Pelodiscus sinensis: one gene and its partner. The protein of the gene in region 2 interacts with the protein of the main gene of each other region in a biochemical or structural test. Links are inferred from orthologs where the notes say so. Each region holds a gene or a part of one and is shown on either strand. Other genes may lie near its edges.

The links. The genes of interacting proteins can lie anywhere in the genome.
Region 1: the proteins of SORBS1 (region 2) and FLOT1 form a complex in vitro, tested with the Homo sapiens proteins (2 studies listed by BioGRID). The link is inferred for Pelodiscus sinensis from reciprocal best matches to the Homo sapiens genes SORBS1 and FLOT1.

Annotation. Positions count from the first base shown.
Region 1 is NW_027466009.1:677,341-687,953, reverse strand, and holds the start of FLOT1 (flotillin-1), read right to left. Parts: upstream 4,332-10,613; 5' UTR 4,239-4,331; intron 2,297-4,238; 5' UTR 2,280-2,296; coding exon 2,237-2,279; intron 1,550-2,236; coding exon 1,474-1,549; intron 42-1,473; coding exon 1-41. UniProt on the Homo sapiens protein: May act as a scaffolding protein within caveolar membranes, functionally participating in formation of caveolae or caveolae-like vesicles.
Region 2 is NC_134718.1:4,329,285-4,339,400, reverse strand, and holds the start of SORBS1 (sorbin and SH3 domain-containing protein 1), read right to left. Parts: upstream 4,600-10,116; 5' UTR 3,820-4,599; coding exon 3,788-3,819; intron 1-3,787. UniProt on the Homo sapiens protein: Plays a role in tyrosine phosphorylation of CBL by linking CBL to the insulin receptor. Required for insulin-stimulated glucose transport. Involved in formation of actin stress fibers and focal adhesions.

The DNA.
Region 1 (10,613 bases), on a different chromosome or scaffold from region 2:
TCTCGCTCTTCACGTTCAGGGTCAGGGTGTTCAGGGAGATCCTGTGGACGGGACACCCCCATGTCATGACCCAAAGACCTATGTACCCCACATCCCCACCCCCCACACGCTGCCCCTCTTCTGACCCGTCTCGAATCCCTCCCCAGTGCCGGCAAGCCCAGTGGGGCGGTGGGAGGGCCCCAGCGGCTCAGAAAGTTGGGAATCATTGAAAAAGGGGTCTTACGAATATTTCCGAAAGTTAGTTTGTTGGTCCCGAAAGATCTCCGAAACGGTCAGAGCTAGAAACGCCAAATTTGGCACGGATCCCACTGACTTCCTAACGTAAATAACTGGGTTGGTTTTATCTCGAAATCGGTTCCCCCAGAGCCCGAATTGGGCCACTCATTAGCTTTTAGTAGCGCCTGATCATAGGCATTTGCTGGACTCTTCTGTGAAGCATGTCACACGAACTGCAACTACGAGATCGTTTCCCTACGATAACAGGAAAAGTACCAGCTGGGTTCATTTCTTAAAGTAAAATATCAGAGAAAAGGATTTCCAATAAAATACGCAATGTAGTTCATTCATCACACCTTTTACTATATTTTCCCCGGGCGACGCCGGGTATTTCTGCTAGTAGAAAATAAGACAGAGAATATCTTATTGCCTCCATATAAACCCATGGGACGCCCACAGCTTGAATACTGTGTACAGATGAGGTCGCCTTGTCTCAAAAAAGATCTCTTGGCATTGGAAAAGGTTCAGAAAAGAACAACTAAAATGATGAGGGGTTTAGAACGGGTCCCGTGTGAAGAGATGAAAAAGACTGGGACTTCTCAGCTTAGAAAAGAGGAGACAGAGGGGATAGGACAGAGGTCTATAAAATCATGAGTGGAGTGGAGAAAGTGAATAAGGAAAAGTTATTTACTTGTTCTCATAATCAGGGCTTGAGGAACCGCGGCGAAAGACGCTCGCCAGCCCCGCATTGCACATGCACGTGCCACCGGTAAACGGGGCGCCAGGCTGAAATCTACTCGCCACGGGCGAGTAGATTCAATAGATTGTCAAGCCCTGCTCATAATATAAGAACTAGGGGTTGCCAAATGAAATTAATAGGTGGCAGGTTTAAAACAAACAAAAGGAAGAGTTTTTCTTCACGTCGTGCACAGTCAACCTGTGGAACTCCTTGCCAGAGGACATTGTGAAGACCAGGACTTTAACTGGGTTTAAAAAAGAGCTAGGTAGATTCATGGAGGGTAGGTCCATCATAGCTATTAGCCAGGATGGGCAGGGAGGGGTCCCTGGCCTCTGTTTGTCAGAAGCTGGGGAATGAGCGACAGGGGAGGGATCATTATATGATTCCCTGTTCTGTTCACTCCCTCTGGGGCATCTGGCACTGGCCACTGTGAGCCGACAGGACACGGGGCTGGACGGACCTTTGGTCTCAACCGGTATGGCCGTTCCTATGTTCAGATCTCTGCGGTGGGGACTTACCTCTGGATCTGTTGGATGCAGGGCAGGACGAAGACCCGGCCCCCGGCCACCATCACTGGGGGGCTGCGGCAGAAGCCTAGCGGGGAGGGGAGCAGAGTGTTAGTTGCCGTCGGGCACTAAGATGCAGCTGCTTCTGGGGCGGGGCGGCTGGGGAAACAGCCGCATAGAACAGGGACGCAGCACGGGGCTGAGACGCGGCCGCCGCTGGGGAACGGGCAATTGGAAACCAGCAGGGAAATCTTAAGGAGGCAGGAAGTGAACTCGGATTTTAAATCTTGTCTGGAATCAGAAAGCCCCGCCCCAATCCCCACAGCCCAGCGCCTCCTGCTGAGCCCCCGCCCTGCTCCCCGTGGCCTAGCCTGGCCCAGAAAAGAGGATTTGATTGTTTACCGTTGGATTAGCTCCAGGGTCCCATCCCCTGGGAACTGGTGACGTCATCCTGTCTCAAATCCCGTCTCTTCGCTGCCGGGTATCCAGAGGGGCAGGGAATGGGGCAGGGGCCTGGCCCCTCTAGGCCCCAGGGCAGGGCCTGGCTGGTGAGGGTGGAGGGGGGGCAGGGGCCTGGTCTGGGTTTCCCCTGGGGATCCGGGTTACGGAGCTTGTGACTTTGGGCCTGGGACTCAGCCGGGCTGTCAGGGCTGGGGCGGGGAGTGTGGGAGGTCCCAAGACAGGAAGGGACTGGGGGGGGGCATCGGGCTCCCCCCCCCCACCCCCGGGACTGGCTTCTCCCATGTGAGAGCGGGGGGGGGGGGGAGCCACTCACCGGAGACCACCATCGCCTCGTTGGGGCCACAGGTGAAGAACATCCCGGGGCTGAGGGAACCTGAAAGAGAAGAGAGACTCATGGAACCCAGGCCCCCCCCCCCCCGGCTCTAACCACTAGCCCCCGCTCCCCTCCCAGAGCTGGGGGGAGAACCCAGGAGTCCTGGCAATCCCCCAGCGGTGGGTGATCACTACCGACCTCTCCCTGGCCAGACTCCAGCTGGATCAGACCCCAGCGGCCCCCAGGACCCCCCATCTCAGCCCCACAGAGCCACTGCTGGGTCTGTCCGTGCCGCCCCCCCCGCACCTGTGCACCCCAAGTCACCGCCCCCCCAGCAGCCTGTGCACTGACTGCCCTGCACCCCTGGCTCCAGCTGCGCCCCCCCCCCGGAATTAGCCACCTGCCCCCTCACTGCTCCTGCGGCCCCTGAAACCCCCTCCCCTGCACCCCCAGCTCCAGCGCCCCCCAGTGTTAGCCTCTTGCCCCCTCCCTGCCCCTGCGGCCCCCAATCCCCCTGCGCCCCCTGATCCCCCTGCACCCCCCACCCCTGCATCCCCTGATCCCCCTGCCCCTCCTGCACCCCCCAACCCTACCCTGCTCCTGCCCTCCAATCTCTTTGTGTCCCCCCTGCCCCTGCACCCCCAACCCCTGATCCTCCTGCACCCCCCTGAGCCCCCCGGCCCTTGCACCCCCCTGGCCCCTGCACCCCCCTGAACCCCCCGGCCCTTGCACCCCCCCGCCCCTGCACCCCCCTGAGTCCCCCGGCCCTTGCACCCCCCCGCCCCTGCACCCCCCTGAGCCCCCCGGCCCTTGCACCCCCCCGCCCCTGCACCCCCCTGAACTCCCCGGCCCTTGCACCCCCCCGCCCCTGCACCCCCCTGAGCCCCCCGGCCCTTGCACCCCCCCGGCCCTGCACCCCCCTGAGCCCCCCGGCCCTTGCACCCCCCCGCCCCTGTACCCCCCTGAGCCCCCCGGCCCTTGCACCCCCCGCCCCTGCACCCCCCTGAGTCCCCCGGCCCTTGGACCCCCCCGCCCCTGCACCCCCCTGAGTTCCCCGGCCCTTGCAGCCCCCGCCCCTGCACCCCCCTGAGCCCCCCGGCCCTTGCACCCCCCCGCCCCTGTACCCCCCTGAGTCCCCCGGCCCTTGCACCCCCCCGCCCCTGTACCCCCCTGAGTCCCCCGGCCCTTGCACCCCCCCGCCCCTGTACCCCCCTGAGTCCCCCCGGCCCTTGCACCCCCCCGCCCCTGCACCCCCCTGAGTCCCCCGGGCCTTGCACCCCCCCGCCCCTGCACCCCCCTGAACCCCCCGGCCCTTGCACCCCCCGCCCCTGTACCCCCCTGAGCCCCCCGGCCCTTGCACCCCCCCGCCCCTGCACCCCCCTGAGTCCCCCGGCCCTTGCACCCCCCCGCCCCTGTACCCCCCTGAGTCCCCCGGCCCTTGCACCCCCCCGCCCCTGTACCCCCCTGAGTCCCCCGGCCCTTGCACCCCCCCGCCCCTGTACCCCCCTGAGTCCCCCCGGCCCTTGCACCCCCCCGCCCCTGCACCCCCCTGAGTCCCCCGGGCCTTGCACCCCCCCGCCCCTGCACCCCCCTGAACCCCCCGGCCCTTGCACCCCCCGCCCCTGTACCCCCCTGAGCCCCCCGGCCCTTGCACCCCCCCGCCCCTGCACCCCCCTGAGCCCCCCGGCCCTTGCACCCCCCGCCCCTGCACCCCCCTGAGCCCCCCGGCCCTGGCACCCCCCGCCCCTGCACCCCCCTGAGTCCCCCCGGCCCTTGCACCCCCCCGCCCCTGCACCCCCCTGAACCCCCCGGCCCTTGCACCCCCCCGCCCCTGCACCCCCCTGAGCCCCCCGGCCCTTGCACCCCCCCGCCCCTGCACCCCCCTGAGCCCCCCGGCCCTTGCACCCCCCCGCCCCTGCACCCCCCTGAGCCCCCCGGCCCTGGCACCCCCCGCCCCTGCACCCCCCTGAGTCCCCCCGGCCCTTGCACCCCCCCCGCTCACCGCGTCTCCGGCTCCTGGCTCCGCGCGAGGGTCCAGCCGCAACCAGGCGCCCCGCCCCGCACCCCCAGTGTCCCGTCGGCCCCCGCGCGCTGCCCCACTGCTGCCACCTGCCGGCCCCCCACGTGGCAGCGGCAAAGTCTGTGTGTGGGGGGGGAGCAAATTCCCCGGGATCCCCCCCGCGGGCGGGCAGGGGCTGTGGGCCGGGAGTGGAGGACCCTGGGGGGGCAGGGGCTGTGGATGGGGGGCACTGGGGGGGCAGGGGCTGTGGATGGGGAGGGGCACTGGGGGGGCAGGGGCTGTGGATGGGGGGCACTGGCAGGGCTGGGGGGGCAGGGGCTGTGGATGGGGGGCACTGGCAGGGCTGGGGGGGCAGGGGCTGTGGATTGGGAGGGGCACTGGGGGGGCAGGGGCTGTGGATGGGGGGCACTGGCAGGGCTGGGGGCAGGGGCTGTGGATGGGGGGCACTGGCAGGGCTGGGGGCAGGGGCTGTGGATGGGGAGGGGCACTGGGGGGGCAGGGGCTGTGGATGGGGGGCACTGGCAGGGCTGGGGGTAGGGGCTGTGGATTGGGAGGAGCACTGGGGGGGGCAGGGGCTGTGGATGGGGGGCACTGGCAGGGCTGGGGGTAGGGGCTGTGGATTGGGAGGGGCACTGGGGGGGCAGGGGCTGTGGATGGGGGGCACTGGCAGGGCTGGGGGGTAGGGGCTGTGGATTGGGAGGGGCACTGGGGGGGCAGGGGCTGTGGATGGGGGGCACTGGCAGGGCTGGGGGGTAGGGGCTGTGGATGGGGAGGGGCACTGGGGGGGCAGGGGCTGTGGATGGGGGGCACTGGCAGGGCTGGGGGGTAGGGGCTGTGGATGGGGAGGGGCACTGGGGGGGCAGGGGCTGTGGATGGGGGGGGCACTGGCAGGGCTGGGGGGTAGGGGCTGTGGATTGGGAGGGGCACTGGGGGGGCAGGGGCTGTGGATGGGGGGCACTGGCAGGGCTGGGGGGTAGGGGCTGTGGATTGGGAGGGGCACTGGGGGGGCAGGGGCTGTGGATGGGGGGCACTGGCAGGGCTGGGGGGTAGGGGCTGTGGATTGGGAGGGGCACTGGGGGGGCAGGGGCTGTGGATGGGGGGCACTGGCAGGGCTGGGGGGGCAGGGGCTGTGGATTGGGAGGGGCACTGGGGGGGCAGGGGCTGTGGATGGGGGGCACTGGCAGGGCTGGGGGGGCAGGGGCTGTGGATTGGGAGGGGCACTGGGGGGGCAGGGGCTGTGGATGGGGGGCACTGGCAGGGCTGGGGGCAGGGGCTGTGGATGGGGGGCACTGGCAGGGCTGGGGGCAGGGGCTGTGGATGGGGAGGGGCACTGGGGGGGCAGGGGCTGTGGATGGGGGGCACTGGCAGGGCTGGGGGTAGGGGCTGTGGATTGGGAGGGGCACTGGGGGGGCAGGGGCTGTGGATGGGGGGCACTGGCAGGGCTGGGGGGTAGGGGCTGTGGATTGGGAGGGGCACTGGGGGGGCAGGGGCTGTGGATGGGGGGCACTGGCAGGGCTGGGGGGTAGGGGCTGTGGATGGGGAGGGGCACTGGGGGGGCAGGGGCTGTGGATGGGGGGCACTGGCAGGGCTGGGGGGTAGGGGCTGTGGATGGGGAGGGGCACTGGGGGGGCAGGGGCTGTGGATGGGGGGCACTGGCAGGGCTGGGGGGTAGGGGCTGTGGATGGGGAGGGGCACTGGGGGGGCAGGGGCTGTGGATGGGGGGCACTGGCAGGGCTGGGGGGTAGGGGCTGTGGATGGGGAGGGGCACTGGGGGGGCAGGGGCTGTGGATGGGGGGGGCACTGGCAGGGCTGGGGGGTAGGGGCTGTGGATTGGGAGGGGCACTGGGGGGGCAGGGGCTGTGGATGGGGGGCACTGGCAGGGCTGGGGGGTAGGGGCTGTGGATTGGGAGGGGCACTGGGGGGGCAGGGGCTGTGGATGGGGGGCACTGGCAGGGCTGGGGGGTAGGGGCTGTGGATTGGGAGGGGCACTGGGGGGGCAGGGGCTGTGGATGGGGGGCACTGGCAGGGCTGGGGGGTAGGGGCTGTGGGTTGGGAGGGGCACTGGGGGGCAGGGGGCTGTGGATGGGGGGCACTGGCAGGGCTGGGGGTAGGGGCTGTGGATTGGGAGGGGCACTGGGGGGGCAGGGGCTGTGGTTGTGGGGAGTACTGGGGGGGCTGGGGCTGTGGATGGGGGGGGAGTCAACTCTGGTGTTTTAGTGAGCGCCCCCCCCCTTTCCAGGCAGACTCAGGGTGTGAGGCTTCTTGTCCCAAACCCCAGGGGGCCAGCAGGTGGCGCACGGGGCCCATAGTCCCGCGGGGTGGGGGGGGATCAGCTGACTGGAGGGGGAGAAATGTTCCAGTTCCCCTGTGTGTTGGGGGGTAGGTGCCCAGCCGGTAACACCCCTCCCCGGCTCTTCTGGGTGCCCCCAGAGGGAGCCCCCGCCCCCCAACCAGCCGCCCACGTCCCTGCCCCACGCCCCATGGGGGGCAGAGGGGGTCGGCCGGCCAGGGGTCGGTGGGTGCCCAGGCAGAGACCCAGCAAACTCGTTCCACAGAGCTGGGCTCACTGGAGTGCTCAGAACCGGGGCCCCCCAGAGGGGCCAGACCCCTGCCCCCCTGCCTGCCAGAGCTGGTATTTCTACTCCTTGGCCCCTCAGCGGGGCGTTGTGTGGGGCGGGCGGGAGGCGGGCGTGTGGGTCTCACCGTGGGGCAGTGCAGCGGGCGGGCCCAGCCTGGAAACTAGGAGTTTGGGCAGTTCCCAGCCTCCGCCTGGGCCCCGGGTCAGCCCTTGCTAGCCTGTTTCCTCAGCTGGTCTGGGGTGTGTGACCAGGCATGTGAGTGTGTGCACACGCCCAGGCTGGCCTGCTACACACACACACACACACACACACACACACACACACACAGTGAACCCTGGAGAGCCAGGGGTGAGACCCAGGAGTCCTGGCTCCCCTCCTCCCCCTGCTCTAACCACTAGCCCCCGCTCCCCTCCCAGAGTCGGGGCGAGAACCCAGGAGTCCTGCGTAGGCCGCGCTGGGTTGTGTCCGCGGCTGCAGGCGCTGTCTGCCCGTGGGCGCTGGTTATATTTAACCCTCCACTCGTGGCCCAAACAGGTGCCGCCGGGAACCCGCCGTCCCTCTGCCCCCGCCGAGAGCCGTGAATAGCCCCTTATCAGGCCTTGCCGCCGGGCTTATCCTTGGGCCAAGGGCGCCGGGCGCGGCTCGCCCAGGCCTCGCTGCCTGGGAGTTTAGTGCTAAAAATATCCCGGAGGGGCGAGTCGACTGGGAGGGCGGGTCGGTAGGGCTGGGGGTGGCTGGACAGCCAGATACCAGCGAGATTAGCTGGTTCCAGCTCATGGTTGGGAGGGAGATAAGGCCGGAAGGACAGCGGCTGAGTCCTTCCTGGCATGGTTCCTAATGTTTTCCATCCATGCGTGGAATAAATGTTGTGCTATGCACCAAGGCCGGTGTGGATGCGCACCCACACAGAAAAGCACAGACTGCCAGCAAGGTTCCTGCTATTTTTTCCATCCATGTGTGGAATAAAGTTTGTGTGGCGCACCAAGGCCTGAGCAGACATGCACTACCCCGAGAAGCACTTACTCCCACAAGGTTCCTGCTAATTTTTCCCACCCATGCCGGTCTGGATGTGCACCATGCAGAGAAGCACAAACTTCCATCAAGGTCCCTGCTAATTTTTTTTCCATCTATGTGTGGGATAAATTTTATACTACTCACCAAGGCCAGTGCGGATGTGCACCACCCAGAGAAGCACAGACTGCCGGCAAGGTCCCTGCTAATTTTTTTCCATCCACGTGTGGAATAAATATTGTATGGCACACCAAGGCCTGTGCAGATGCACACCACTCAGAGAAGCACGTACTGCTGCAAGGTCCATGCTATTTTTTCCCCATCCATGTATGGAATAAATTTTGAGCTGCTCACCAATGCCTGTGCAGATGCGCACCACCCAGTGACATACTTACTGCCAGCAAGGTTCCTATTTTTTCCATCCACATGTGGAATAAATGTTGTGCTGCGCACCAAGGCCCGTTCAGATGCGCACCACCCAGAGAAGCTCAGATTGCCGAAAGGTCCCTGCCCTTTTCAACTTGGGCACCTCTTCCTCGAAACGCGGTACCCAGAAGTGGCCGCAGCGCAGCCGCTGGCGGGGGGTGCGAATCAATGTGGGGCAGAGCGGAAGGATTGCTCCACATTTCCTGCTTACACCACGCCGGTTCATGCCTCCCCCATGACGTCTGTGGTGTGCTTGTGCAACCCTGTCACACTGCTGACTCATGCTGAGTTTACAGCCCACTCCGACCCCTAAGTCCCTCTCCGCAATCCTCCTTCTGAGACGGCCGCTTCCTGTTCTGCGTGCGCCACACGGCTTGGTTCTCCGCAAGTGGAGCCCTTCGGACTTGTCCTTGTTGAACTTCATCCTGTTTGCCTCCGACCATGTCTCCAGTGCGCCCAGCTCAGTTTGAATTCGGACCCCGTCCCCCAAATCACTTGCCTCCCCTCCCAGTTTGGGATTAGCTGCGAACTTAAGAAGCATCCTCGCTATGCCAATATCGAAATCACGGATGAAGATATTGAACAGGGCCGGTCCTAGAGCCCATCCCTGTAGGACCCTACTTGTTATACCCTTGCAGCATACGAATGGCCAGCCTGGATCAGACCAAAGGTCCATACAGCCCACAGTGGCCAACGCCAGGTGCCCCAGAGGGAGGGAACACAACAGGTAATCCTCATGTGTCCCTCCCGTGTCACTCGGACAAACAGAGACTAGGGACACTGGCAAACGGCCATTGAAGGACCTAACCGCCATGAATTTATCTAGTTCTTTTTTGAACCCTGTTCAAGTCCTGATCTTCAGCACATCCTCTGGCGAGGAGTTCCACAGGTTGGCGATGCGCTGCATGAAGAAAAACTTCCTTGTGTTGGTTTGAAACCTGCTGCCTGTTCATTTCATTGCGTGATCCCTCCTCCTTATATTGTGGGAACAAGTACATAATTCTTCCTTAATCACTTTCTCCACACCAGTCCTGATTTTATAGACCTCGATCCTATCCCTCCTCAGTCTCCTCTTTTCTAAGCTGAAACCTCCCAGCCTTTTTCATCTCTCTTCAGATGGGACCCGTTCCAAACCCTGAATCATTTTTGGTGCCTTTTTCTGAACTTTTTTCCAAGGCATCTTTTTTTAGATGAGCTGACCGCATCTGTATGCAGTATTCAAGCTGTGGGCGTACCATGGGTTTACAGAGGCACTAAATATTCTGTCTTGTTCTCTAGCCCTTTTTGAATGATTCCAAACATTTTTTGGGGGTGATGCTGAGCACCGAGCATGACTGGGAACCCCTTGGTATCTACTCTCTGGGGACAGTAGCCCAGCCCGCTGCAACCCCGCCTTACAGAAACCCCGTGCAGGTTGGATTTCCCTCGTGTACGAGACCATCACAGGAGGCCCAGCTGAAGGCTAGGTGTACCACATCTGCCACTTCCCCCTTAGCCACAAGGCTTGTGACCCTGCTAAAAGTAACAAGCCACTTGGATGGGACTCCGGAAATCCACCCTGCAGGGGTAGACGAGAACTCGAGCCTGTGTCCTGAGTCCCAGACAGCTCCTGCACTAACCACTAGACCCCACTCTCTCTGCAGCTGGGAAACAGAACCCAGGAGTCCCCATCTCCCAGCACCCTCAGAAATGGGCTAGTTTAAGCACCCCAAGGCCTGTCCCCAATCAGCCAGGGCCAGTGAGAATAAGGTTGGCAGGTGTCCGGTTTTCACCCCCATTGTTCGGTATTTGGCTTTAAAAAAACCAGAAAATACCAGACACGTGAAACGTCCGGTATTTCCTGGTTCCCTTGGACGGAAACCGGGCCGGGACAGTTTTCTGCTGCTGCATCTGGCAGGAGCTCAACTTTGGTCTCCCCCTTCCCTTTTGCTCAACAACTCTGGTCTCTTCTCCCCCCCACCCATTTTTTTGGGGCTCAACCAAGCTTGCCACACTCGGCCTTTTTGTTGAAAGTCTCTGGCAAGCCTAATGATGGAACACTTGGGATGTAGCAAAGGGGCGGAGCTTGGCAGGGAGAAGCCCCAGGGTGGGAGATGGACGATTAGCTCACCCCCCGCAAAACAGGGACTTCGTTTGCTGGTTTCTCCACTCGAGTGGACCTTCCTCGGAGAGAGCCACTCACCCCCCCAAGAATAGGGGCCCTTTGCCCCCCCGAAATCAGACACCCCCAGCCACGGAAGTCAGCATGTTTATTGTGTTCACAGAACATACACCGTTTGGACGACTCGTCCAGGAAAAAAATTGAAACCGTTTGGAGGCAAAACCCCGCCAGACACATCAG
Region 2 (10,116 bases):
AGGGAGGTGGCTGGACTTTGGTGATGGGACAGTCTCCCGCTGCTAGAGCGAACAGCTACCCAGAAGCAGCAGAGACACAGCCTGACAGTCTATATGCTCATGTCCATGGCTTTCACTGAGTTTAATTAATACAGTTTGCACTTGTGCCTGATAACGGTCAAGTGGATCAATGTCACTGAAACACCCAACTGAATCCACAAACAGTCCAGAGCCCATAAAAAGGTGGCGGGAGGGAGATGCACGACGGGCAGGAACCAGCATGTCCCCCAGACTACAGCGTGCAAAGCTGGTTTACACCAGGCAAGAATCTGAGGGCAAGGTTTAGTTACGAGCAGGCAGCAGGGGTTATGGTCCCAAATGAGGAAAGCACTCAAGGCTATGCTTCAAGGCTAGCGTGTGCTTTCCTAAATCAGGATCACAGTTACTCCTGCTGCTAGGCTCCCAGGTGCTTAACTTCAGTGTCGCTGACTTTAAAGTTAAAGGTGTGCTTAAGTGCTTTCATGAATAGAGACTGTTCTCCAAAATTGGAGCCTATGTCGATAGACAGTTTTAAATACTGCTACTGCCGTGCAAGTCTATACATGAGCATCTCAGATCAGTGGCAGATGGTATCCGTCATGTCCATTTTATAGCTGGAAGAAGCAGTTCAGCAAAACCAGAAATAGAGCCCAAGTTCCCTTCCTTCTAGCACCCTGCTCTAGCCAGTGGACAATGCTGCTCTCCAGCAAACCCTAAAGAATGCCTTTGCTGAAATGTGACACTAACATCAGCAGAAACCTCTGAGCTAAACAAATGTAAGACATGATGGCAGGTAAGGAATTCCCAAGGGCGTAGGCAGGGGTGGCCCTAGACTAGCTGCCAGCCACTGGCGCCCTAGGCGAACCATGCAATCGGCACCCCCACCTCCAAACCCCTCCATGATATTAGGCCACCATTTGGCAACCCATTTAACTTGGCGCCCTAGGCAACCGCCTAGTTCGCCTATATGGACGGGTTGCCCCTGGGCGTAGGCCAGAAGTTTCTGATCTTGAATGTGCCTCCATCTATGTTACAGCATCCCTACACCTCTAGGCAGACTTTTAATGACTTCGTCATCCCTTTTAGTCTCAGCGCATTTCTTCTGAGACCACAGCTCTTTCCCTACTTGGTGTGGAAAAGAGAGTGATGGAATCCTAGTTGGAAGGAATGCAGATACGCAGTGACTACTTCTGTACAGCATGTCTGTGGATTATCTCACATGTTTCAAGCATTCCAGGGTCTCCCTACAATAGCAAGAGATAACAAACAACTCATTAATAGTTCAGTGTAAGGACACATGCTTTTGAGTCACTGGGAGGGCTATAGAATATGACCCCGTGGTAGGAATCTCAAATCTTTAATGATCTGGGTACGTCAGAGGGGTTGTTTCCTTGGCTATACTGGCTTAGACTATACTGGGTTGAGGTTTGTATGGCTGCATGGAGGATTCAAACACCCACTCCACAGGCATATAAATCCACTAGACAATTTTTTGGCAAGTCTCACTTGAGAGGGACAATGCTGGTTAAAGGAGAATGTAATTAGCAGGAATTCAGTTTGGACAGAGTTAATGAGAAGAAGTGAAGTTAACGACACTGGGTTATACCCTGTGCTCTTGCAAAAAGTGCCCTAAGACCCATAAAAGGCACATAAAGCTGGCTGGGAGGAGGTCGCTTTTAGAACTGTACACATGGGATTCATTTGGCTCCAGCTCTTTACAGGCTACTTGGAGTCACTCGGTAGCTATGGGGCTACTGGTGCCTAAAGTCAGTGGCTGCCTTGGAAAATGGTTCTGAACAAACAGATCCAACCATGGTGGCAGATGCCAGAAATGCTAATAGTTCTCAGTCTTAAAGCCACGCCTCATTGTGCTGGCCACGGGATTTAGATGCAGCGACACGGTCACACCAAACTGCATGTTCCCCACCTGGAAGTGCACCTTATATGTACAATGGCTTGGATACTGCAAGTTGACATTGATGAAAACTCTCAAGTTATAAGCCACCACTAATAGGAAGGAGACCCAACATTATTATTGTACATTTTAAGTAGAAATCAACCCCAACCACAAAGTTCAGATCCAGACACAAATTCTCCCCAGATGTGTGGAGCCCTACGCAAATACAAATTGGTGATAGCCACATCCACATGTGCAGAAACGATCTGTGGATACCCGTGGACATGAAGTGGGTATCTGCAGATCTTCAGGGCTGTACAAATGTGTGGAGGTGGGGAAAGGTACTGCTTCAGGCCCACTTCTAATTTTAAGATTAGTCAGAAGTTCACAAATAAAGCAACCATTTACTAGCCGTCACCACGGCTAGAATATCTGATAGCAAGGTTACTGTCTCAGGATCAGGGAAACACACTTGCTGTGCTAACTGCTGGCAAACCCTGGCTCTCTGACAGCAGCCAACATGTAGCAGTACATTTCCCTCTGTGCTGCACAAACCCCTGCACTCCACCCCTTCCGAAGGCAGGCAATTAACAGACCCCCCCCAGGGGTGGCCTTAGACTAGCTGGCAGCAACTGGCGCCCTAGGCAAACCATGTAATTGGCGCCCCCACCTCCAAACCCCTCCATGATATTGTGCCACCATTTGGCGCCCCATTTAACTTGGCGCCCTAGGTGACTGCCTAGCTCGCCTCTTTAGATGCCAGCCGCCCCTGCCCCCTCCCACAAAGACAGGGAAGTGGACAGACAGACCCAGTTCTGAACTGTAGTAGAGCTCCACATGCAGGATGGGGAGGAGGGGCAGAATTGAGGGAACCAGATTCTGGGTGGAGCCCTCTGATGCCCCCAGCACAAGCACCTACAGCAGCCTGAGGGTGGCTGCAACAATCCCACGGAGCATTGCAAGAGCGAAGGCCAGCCTGGGGTGCCGCATGTTTCACCAGGCAGAGCCCTGGCATGCTCCTTGCTCAGGCGCTGCAAGGGGAGGTGGGTCCATTGGCATCCAGAGGACCCTCCTATGCCACAGGAATGACCAGGGGCTCCTCCTCTGGCTTCATGTCCAGTGCAGGCAGCACAAAAGGGCCACGGCAGAACCCCAGACTGATGGCCACAGGGGCTTGGCGACAGCCAGAGACAGAGCAAGCAGCAGCCCAAGTGTGCTGGCTGCCTGTCCTGCACTCAGGCCAACAGGCCATGCCGCCTCTGACAGCAGCTGACAGAGGGAACCACGGAGGCAGAAGCCACCTTTCCTAGGGCATCTCCAGCACCGGGGTAAGAGGGTCTCCGCTGAAGGCAGGTCTAAAATGCCATAGGCGGGGAGGCTGCAGCTAACGTCTGATCTCAGATTTCACCCCCCTGCAGGAACAGCGGAACATCAAACCAAACCGCCTTTTAAAGTCACATTGTTCTCCTTTGTCCAGCTCCACAACCAGAGAAACACCTGGCCCAGAAAAGTTAGTAAGTGAAGGATAAAAACAAACTAATTTGCCATCTGAGTCCAATCCACATGGGCCTGCGCCAAAGCGCCGACTCGTGCCCACTGCTTTGAGTTCAGAGACAGGCAGGCCCAAGCTGGGAAACTGAGGTATTGCCTCCAGTCCCCCCAGGGGCTGCAGATAGGCCAGGATTCACACATCTCCAGGAACCAGAGCAACAGAGATCCATTGCAAAACCATCTGACAGCTCCTTCCCTTAACCAGTGGCTTATGACACAGCAAGGGAACCGGGAGGTAAGTGGCTCACCCTAGCCAACAGCAGTATCCTCCTGAGAGCGCTGAGCACCCGCCAATTACTACTCAGCTAGCCGCGTCCTTACCTTGGACCAGGCTTCTCAGTCAAAGGTGCCATTTGCTGGGCTCTTCCCGCCCCCCACTTGGACTCCAGAGACAAGGTGTGAAAGAGTCAATCAGGGTTTGCTCCGGGCTGTTCGGCTCCCTGAAGCATAACCCGAGTTTGGGGAGGCCTGGGCACCCTTAAATACTTTGCTCCTCCCACCTCTGTGCTTTAATTAGCCAGCAGGCTCTTAATCATGTCAGCCTGTCACTTGGCTTGCTCACCGTCAACAGCCCCCTCCCGCCTGCCTGGCATTCCTTTGCCCTTGACATCATGCAGACACGCAGTGGCAGCAGACGGGGTGGGGGCGGGGGAGCGGGAGATGGATGCATTGGGGAGGAGGGAAGTGATGGCTAAGCACATGGAAAGTGCTGCGTAAAACACCCGTACCCAAGCCGTGTGTGTGTCTACCAGGGAACGGTTTGATTAGCATCTAGCTACAGGCCCTGGAGACCCTTGAGCACGGGCTGGCAAATGTGTCGCTGCCAGCAGAGTTAGGTCTGGAGTGGAAATACCTGGCATGATACAGAGAGAAACTCTCATCCTGAGAGATTGAGATTTATTATGCAGCCCAGAAGCTTGGGAAACACAGCCCTGCTGGGGCAGAGGCCCCAAAGGAAGGCAGGTTGGCGGGGCCAGGACTCCCCTGGGAAGCCCAGAGAGGAACACATGCTGGAGTGGCAGTGGTGCCAAATGGACAGAGGATAGCGTGTGCTCTCCTGGGCATCTGGGAAGGAAGGAGGGTGGGACCAAGGCCTCCCCCTCTTTCCGGGCATGCACACAGGAGACAAAAAGTCTGGGACTGTAGCATTCTGCGTCCAGGGTGTGGGTCAAGTGACTTGTCCTGGAAACTCAGTGGCGAGTCCAGCCCGGGGTTCTTGGCTCTGCGTCCTGCACCTTTACCAGCAGGCCATCTCTTCCAGACCAGCACATTAGAAGTGGTGCAGGCTGGTACTTCCGGTCTACATGACTGGGATTCCAGCCTCCATCTCTCCCTTATGCCTCTGGGCTTCATTGTACTCCCTGGCCTCTTTCCCATTCCCTTCTCTTTCATCTGCAGCCACCCTTGGGCTGCTCCAAACCCCTCTCAGGGACTCTTCAGTCTGAAGAGCTGCTGACCATGCTGCAGACCGAGATTAACTGTCTGGAAGGCCACCGTCTCCCCAGGAACCGGAATAGAGAGGAGGCTAAGAAAACATGACTGATGGAGAAAGCGTTGCTCCTTTAATTGGGATTGGTCCTGCCTAGAGCAGGGGGCTGGACTTGATGGCCTTCTGAGGTCTCTTCCAGCTCTCTGGTTCTATGCTCTGATTCTATGAACACAGGCCAAGCATGTCTCTGGTTGGCCAGCCAGGTGAGTGCTTAATCTCAATTCAGATCCTTCTTACACACACAGCGTTAGTGAGGGCTCTGAACAAAAGCCCTACAGGAGAAGACTAACATCCACTTTAGGGCTATTTGAAATCTAGACCCAGCTTCAGATTTGTCAGCTCAAACTCTTCTCTATTTTCCAGCTGAGCTGGTTGGTGAGCATCCCTCCCTTAGCCGAGTGGGAGCAGCTGACATCCTGGCCTGGGAAGCTGGCACCAGTGCAGGACGAGGCTGGTAAGCACTGATCTAGTTGACTTCTGAGTTTAGTATTGATCACATATACCTCACAGTCCAAGAGACACGTGCAATGGCTGATCAGCATTACCGGTGCTGGAGAGGAGCCCAGTATGCAGAATTCACACCTGGATTTCCAAGGGCCTAATACTTGGAGGGGTTATGTTTGGCCCATTATGGAGATGAGGCCATTTGCAAAATTTGGATCAGGCTCTAGGTGTAGCTTGCAAACACAATGGCTACGTCTACACTGGCCCCTTTTCCGAAAGGGGCATGGTAATTTCAGAGATCGTAATAGGGAAATCCGCGGGGGATTTAAATATCCCCCGCGGCATTTAAATAAAAATGTCCGCCGCTTTTTTCTGGCTTTTAGAAAAGCCGGAAAAGAGCATCTACACTGGCCCCGATCCTCCGGAAAAAGCGCCCTTTTCCGGAGGGTCTTATTCCTACTTCAAAGTGGGGCTGGGGGCGGGGAGCAGTTTGGTCTTCATCCAAAGTTTAGGGGAGTTCTGATCAAGGGCTGGGATTTGTGGGATCTGCACGTCCCAACCACAGAGCTTACAACACAGAGATTCTACAGCAGGCCGGACAAAAGTCAGGCTTTGGGCGCCTGACAGACTAAAGCGAAATCAGGCGGGTAGCTGCTGAGGGGCTCCACTGCTCCAAACAGCCTGACGTCCTGCTGATCTTAAAAGCCAACACTCCGGCTGTGGACACCTCTGAGAGCTTACAGCAGCACCACTGGACCCTCGGCAGAGAGCTCTCCCATCGACCTAATGCCCCCTCCCAACAGGCAGGGGAGGAGCTGCCCTGCGGAGCTAGCGCTGTACACACTTGGGGTAGCCTATTCACACCCCTGGCCAAGTACAGCGATAGCCTTGCTGGGAGATGAGTCACCACAGTGGACTGGGAATGAGCAACAACTCTGGCTGGCATTTTTCAGCCAAGCTGCAATAATCAACTCCCTAAGAGCAGCATTTGCTTAGCTGTCCAGGCAGTCGATGCAAAACTTGTTCTGTCTACAGCATGTCGACAGCTCCATCCCAACAGCACCTCAGCACGCTGCAGTCACAATGGCACTTACCCTGACGAAGCCCTGCAAGGCGAGGCACTGCCGTTCCCCTCCTTGGCCAGAGGGGAGTTCAGGCCCACACAGGCTGGGGGTGCGTCTAACAGCAAGAAGGGACAGTGGCAGCAAGTCCCCGGGGCCAGATCAACGGATGAGGGGCTGGAGGTAGCAGGGCAGCCATTTGAGAGTACGAGATGAGAGTCTCTCAGAGCTCAGGTCCACGCCCTAGTGCCTGCACAGCTTTCTCAGCCCTGCGAGCCTGTCAGCTGACCCAGGTTCTGACACTCACTGCCAGAGGGTTGCTAAGCAGACCCACCCTCCGTCTTTCAGGGCCTCACCTCCCCATCTGTAAAACATGGGGAAGCAACTTTTCCAAAAGGGCTGCCAGCTCTGACCAAAGCTAGTCCAGGTCTTATTTTACACATGACGTATTGTCATTTTCTTAAAATACCCAATTCACGTCTCCCGGATTGCTCTCAACAGGCTCCGGAGGCTGACGACGACTCTGGCTGGCAACTCTTCTGTCCAATGCCTGAACCAGTATTTTCCAGATTTTTTTCTTTGTGGAAATTTTCAAAATTTTCATCTTTTGTTCAGTGCAGAATGAAGCCAACTTTCAAAATGCTTCACAAGATGGAATATCCACCTTCCCCAAGCCTCCATCTGTGACTAGCTCACTGAGCGCAAGGGCTACCTAAACCAGGGAGCGAGAGAGAGAGAGAGACCTTGTCCCGCTCTGTGTCCAGGCCCCACAGGACAGCTCGCCACCTGCAGAGGAATTAGCTGAAAGGACAGAAGTTTGTGATTGTGGTGCTGAAAGTCAGGGTTTGAGCCTGGTGCTACCTGTCAACATTTTCCTACCCCAGCTCCCTTTTTAGAAGGAGCTGTCCCAGATGAAAGGGTTCCAATGTCCCAGTTTTTTGTGCCTTGGATGGCAGCCCTATCTCCCATTCATTCCCCTGTACTCACTGAAATCAGCTGGTTGAACTATTCAGGCCCAGTGGAAAGGGTCACGGTTCTCCACCTGCGACTCTGCTTTCTTTTCACATGTAATTATTTCACAGTAACACACACCTGCAAGAGAGAGAGCGGGAGGGAAGTGTGTTACTATTACTGCCACTGCCCCGGTGTCCATTGCACTTACCAAAGGACAGAGAAGTCATCCCAGAGCAGAACTGAGGCATTAAAAGGAGCACAGCAGTACAGAGCGGAGGCATTAAAAGGAGCACAGCAGTACAGAGCGGAGGCATTAAAAGGAGCACAGCAGTACAGAGCGGAGGCATTAAAAGGAGCACAGCAGTACAGAGCGGAGGCATTAAAAAGGGGTCAAGTCTTAACTCTGCCTGGGCCTGGCCCCTGCCTCCTCCCCCAGTCAAGGGACTATGAAACCTGTCCGGCACCACCACTAGGAGGACAGGTTGGGAGGAAGGGTTGCTGGAAAGCCAGGGAACAGAATAAAAGCCTGTTTCAGTGTAGAGATGACCTTGGGAATCTCTTTTCTTGGGGACAGTCTCTGAGGTCCCTCCAGGTAAGGGCAAACAGACAATGGGGGAGCAAAGAGAGATGGAGAAAGAAAAAAACATGGAAGATAAATAGATGGGAGGAAAGAGACCAAATCAGAAAAAGTCTGGTCCCTCAGAGCTACACACAATGGGGCAGCTTTGCCCCAGCACAATCTACATGCATGGCCACCTCAGCGCAGTCCCAGGTAGCAATGCAAGCACGACCTCTACATGAGGCCTGGCCGTGGACTGAGTGCGAGCCCCTAGTGGAATTGTGTTCAGTAAGCAAAAGTTGAACCCACGAGTTCAGTGATACCACTCGACCATTTGGCACTCAAGAGGAACAGCGTATACTGGAAGCCAGACCCTGGCTAAAACTTAAAATGCAATGAGTGTGCTGAGTGGGTTTCATTCATGGACTTTAAAGTAAATTTCCTCTGTCAAGATGATGATTCCAGAAGATAAGATGTTTGGTGGGTCTTTTGCTCATGGTTAATATTTATGAACCCTGTTTGCACTGGTTTCCCAAATTAATGCTGAATTACTTCCCTCCTTTTATTACAAGTTTTTTGCTACACTCAGACTCTGTGCTTGCGAGAGGGGAAGCGCTGCTTCTTAGAGGCACCCAGGCGGTGGTGTGTAATAGTCCCATGCTGCTGCGTGAGGGCTTGGGCCGGTTTTGTGTTGCACTGTTGGAAAGGAACCCCTAGATACTGAACCGTCCCTTGCTGCTGCCAACACTGACTGGCACAAGGGTTATCAAGAGTATTCCATTCAAGTCTGTGTGATAATCCATCTCTTGTGGTGGGAGGAAGGGGTTAGAGCAATTCATTTAGAAGATGGAAGAGTGACTCAAAGGCAGCAGTCCAGATATCAGCTAATAATTTGCTTTTATAGCAAGTTACTTAATCATTCAAATGATAGATTTGAGATTCTGATCACATTCGTTAGTTGTATTTATAAGCAGACAGCCACCTTTTTAGAATCTATAGAAGGACTGATTACTGTTGAGTAAATTGGTTGGTTTGATTTCACCAGCACTGAATAGTTGTTGTGCTTTATACTTAGTTTAGTGCATAGCAGCTTAGCTTTGGTGATAAAGTTTCCCTGCTCTTATCTTTGCTTAAGTGTTCTAATAACATTATAAAGGGATATGGAGTCTTATTTCTTTTAACAAGCAACCTTGGTCCAGAAGTTAGAACCTTTGAGACATGGGGCAGATATCAGCCAATCAACCTAAAATCTTGTCATGCTCTCCTAATTAGCCAGTAATCACAGAGAACAGAGAGGAAGAAAAGGAGTAGAAGGAAGCTGCTCAGAGGGATGTCAGAGACTTTGCTTGACTGGAGACATGATGTTTTACAGGCCTCCAGAATTACTTCAGGACCTGCTGGCAGCTGAAACATTAAGCGTGGAAGAGCCACGACTACTGCCCAGCCTTAGAGAGGTTCCAGAGAGAGACAGAGAAAAGATGGCACCTGAGAGAGCGAGGCCTGCTGGGTGGGTTTCTGCTATCTACAGGGGGCCAGTTTTAATCTGGGCCCTGCTGGCCAGGAGGGAATAAGCAACCACATAATCTGGACAGGGGATGGACAGAGGCAGTTTACAGCTTTATGGGGCCCTGGGCCAAAGCATGTGGGGGCCCCTGCAGTCCTCCCCCCCACATTCTGTTCTCCTGCTATAAAGAGGGGTGGGGCAAGGGGGCTTCCCCCAGACCACAGCAGGAGCACTGGGTGGGCCAGGGAAGCCCCCTGGCCCCTGCCCTGCTCACTGGCAGGAGCGCCAGGCAGGTGGAGTGGGTGGGGGTGCAGTGGTGCCCATTTGCCCAGGGCCCCCAATGGGCCATGGCCACTGGGGATGAAGCCTGCATCCCCTGGAAGCCTTTCTGACTCCTGAAGCAGAGTCAGTGACCTTTGGGAAGATACAAGGAGAGAGAAAAAGGCCATTTTGGCACCTGTCATCTAAAGCAACGGAGCGCTTTGAGCTGTGTAAAGGGTCTGGGCCTGGGAGTCTGGCAGCCAGGCTGGAAAAAAGCCTGGGTGAGAAATACCTTTTTGAACAAAAGCGACGAGGAGTCCTGTGGCACCTTATAGACTAACTGAAGTGTAGGAGCATAAGCTTTCGTGGGCAAAGACC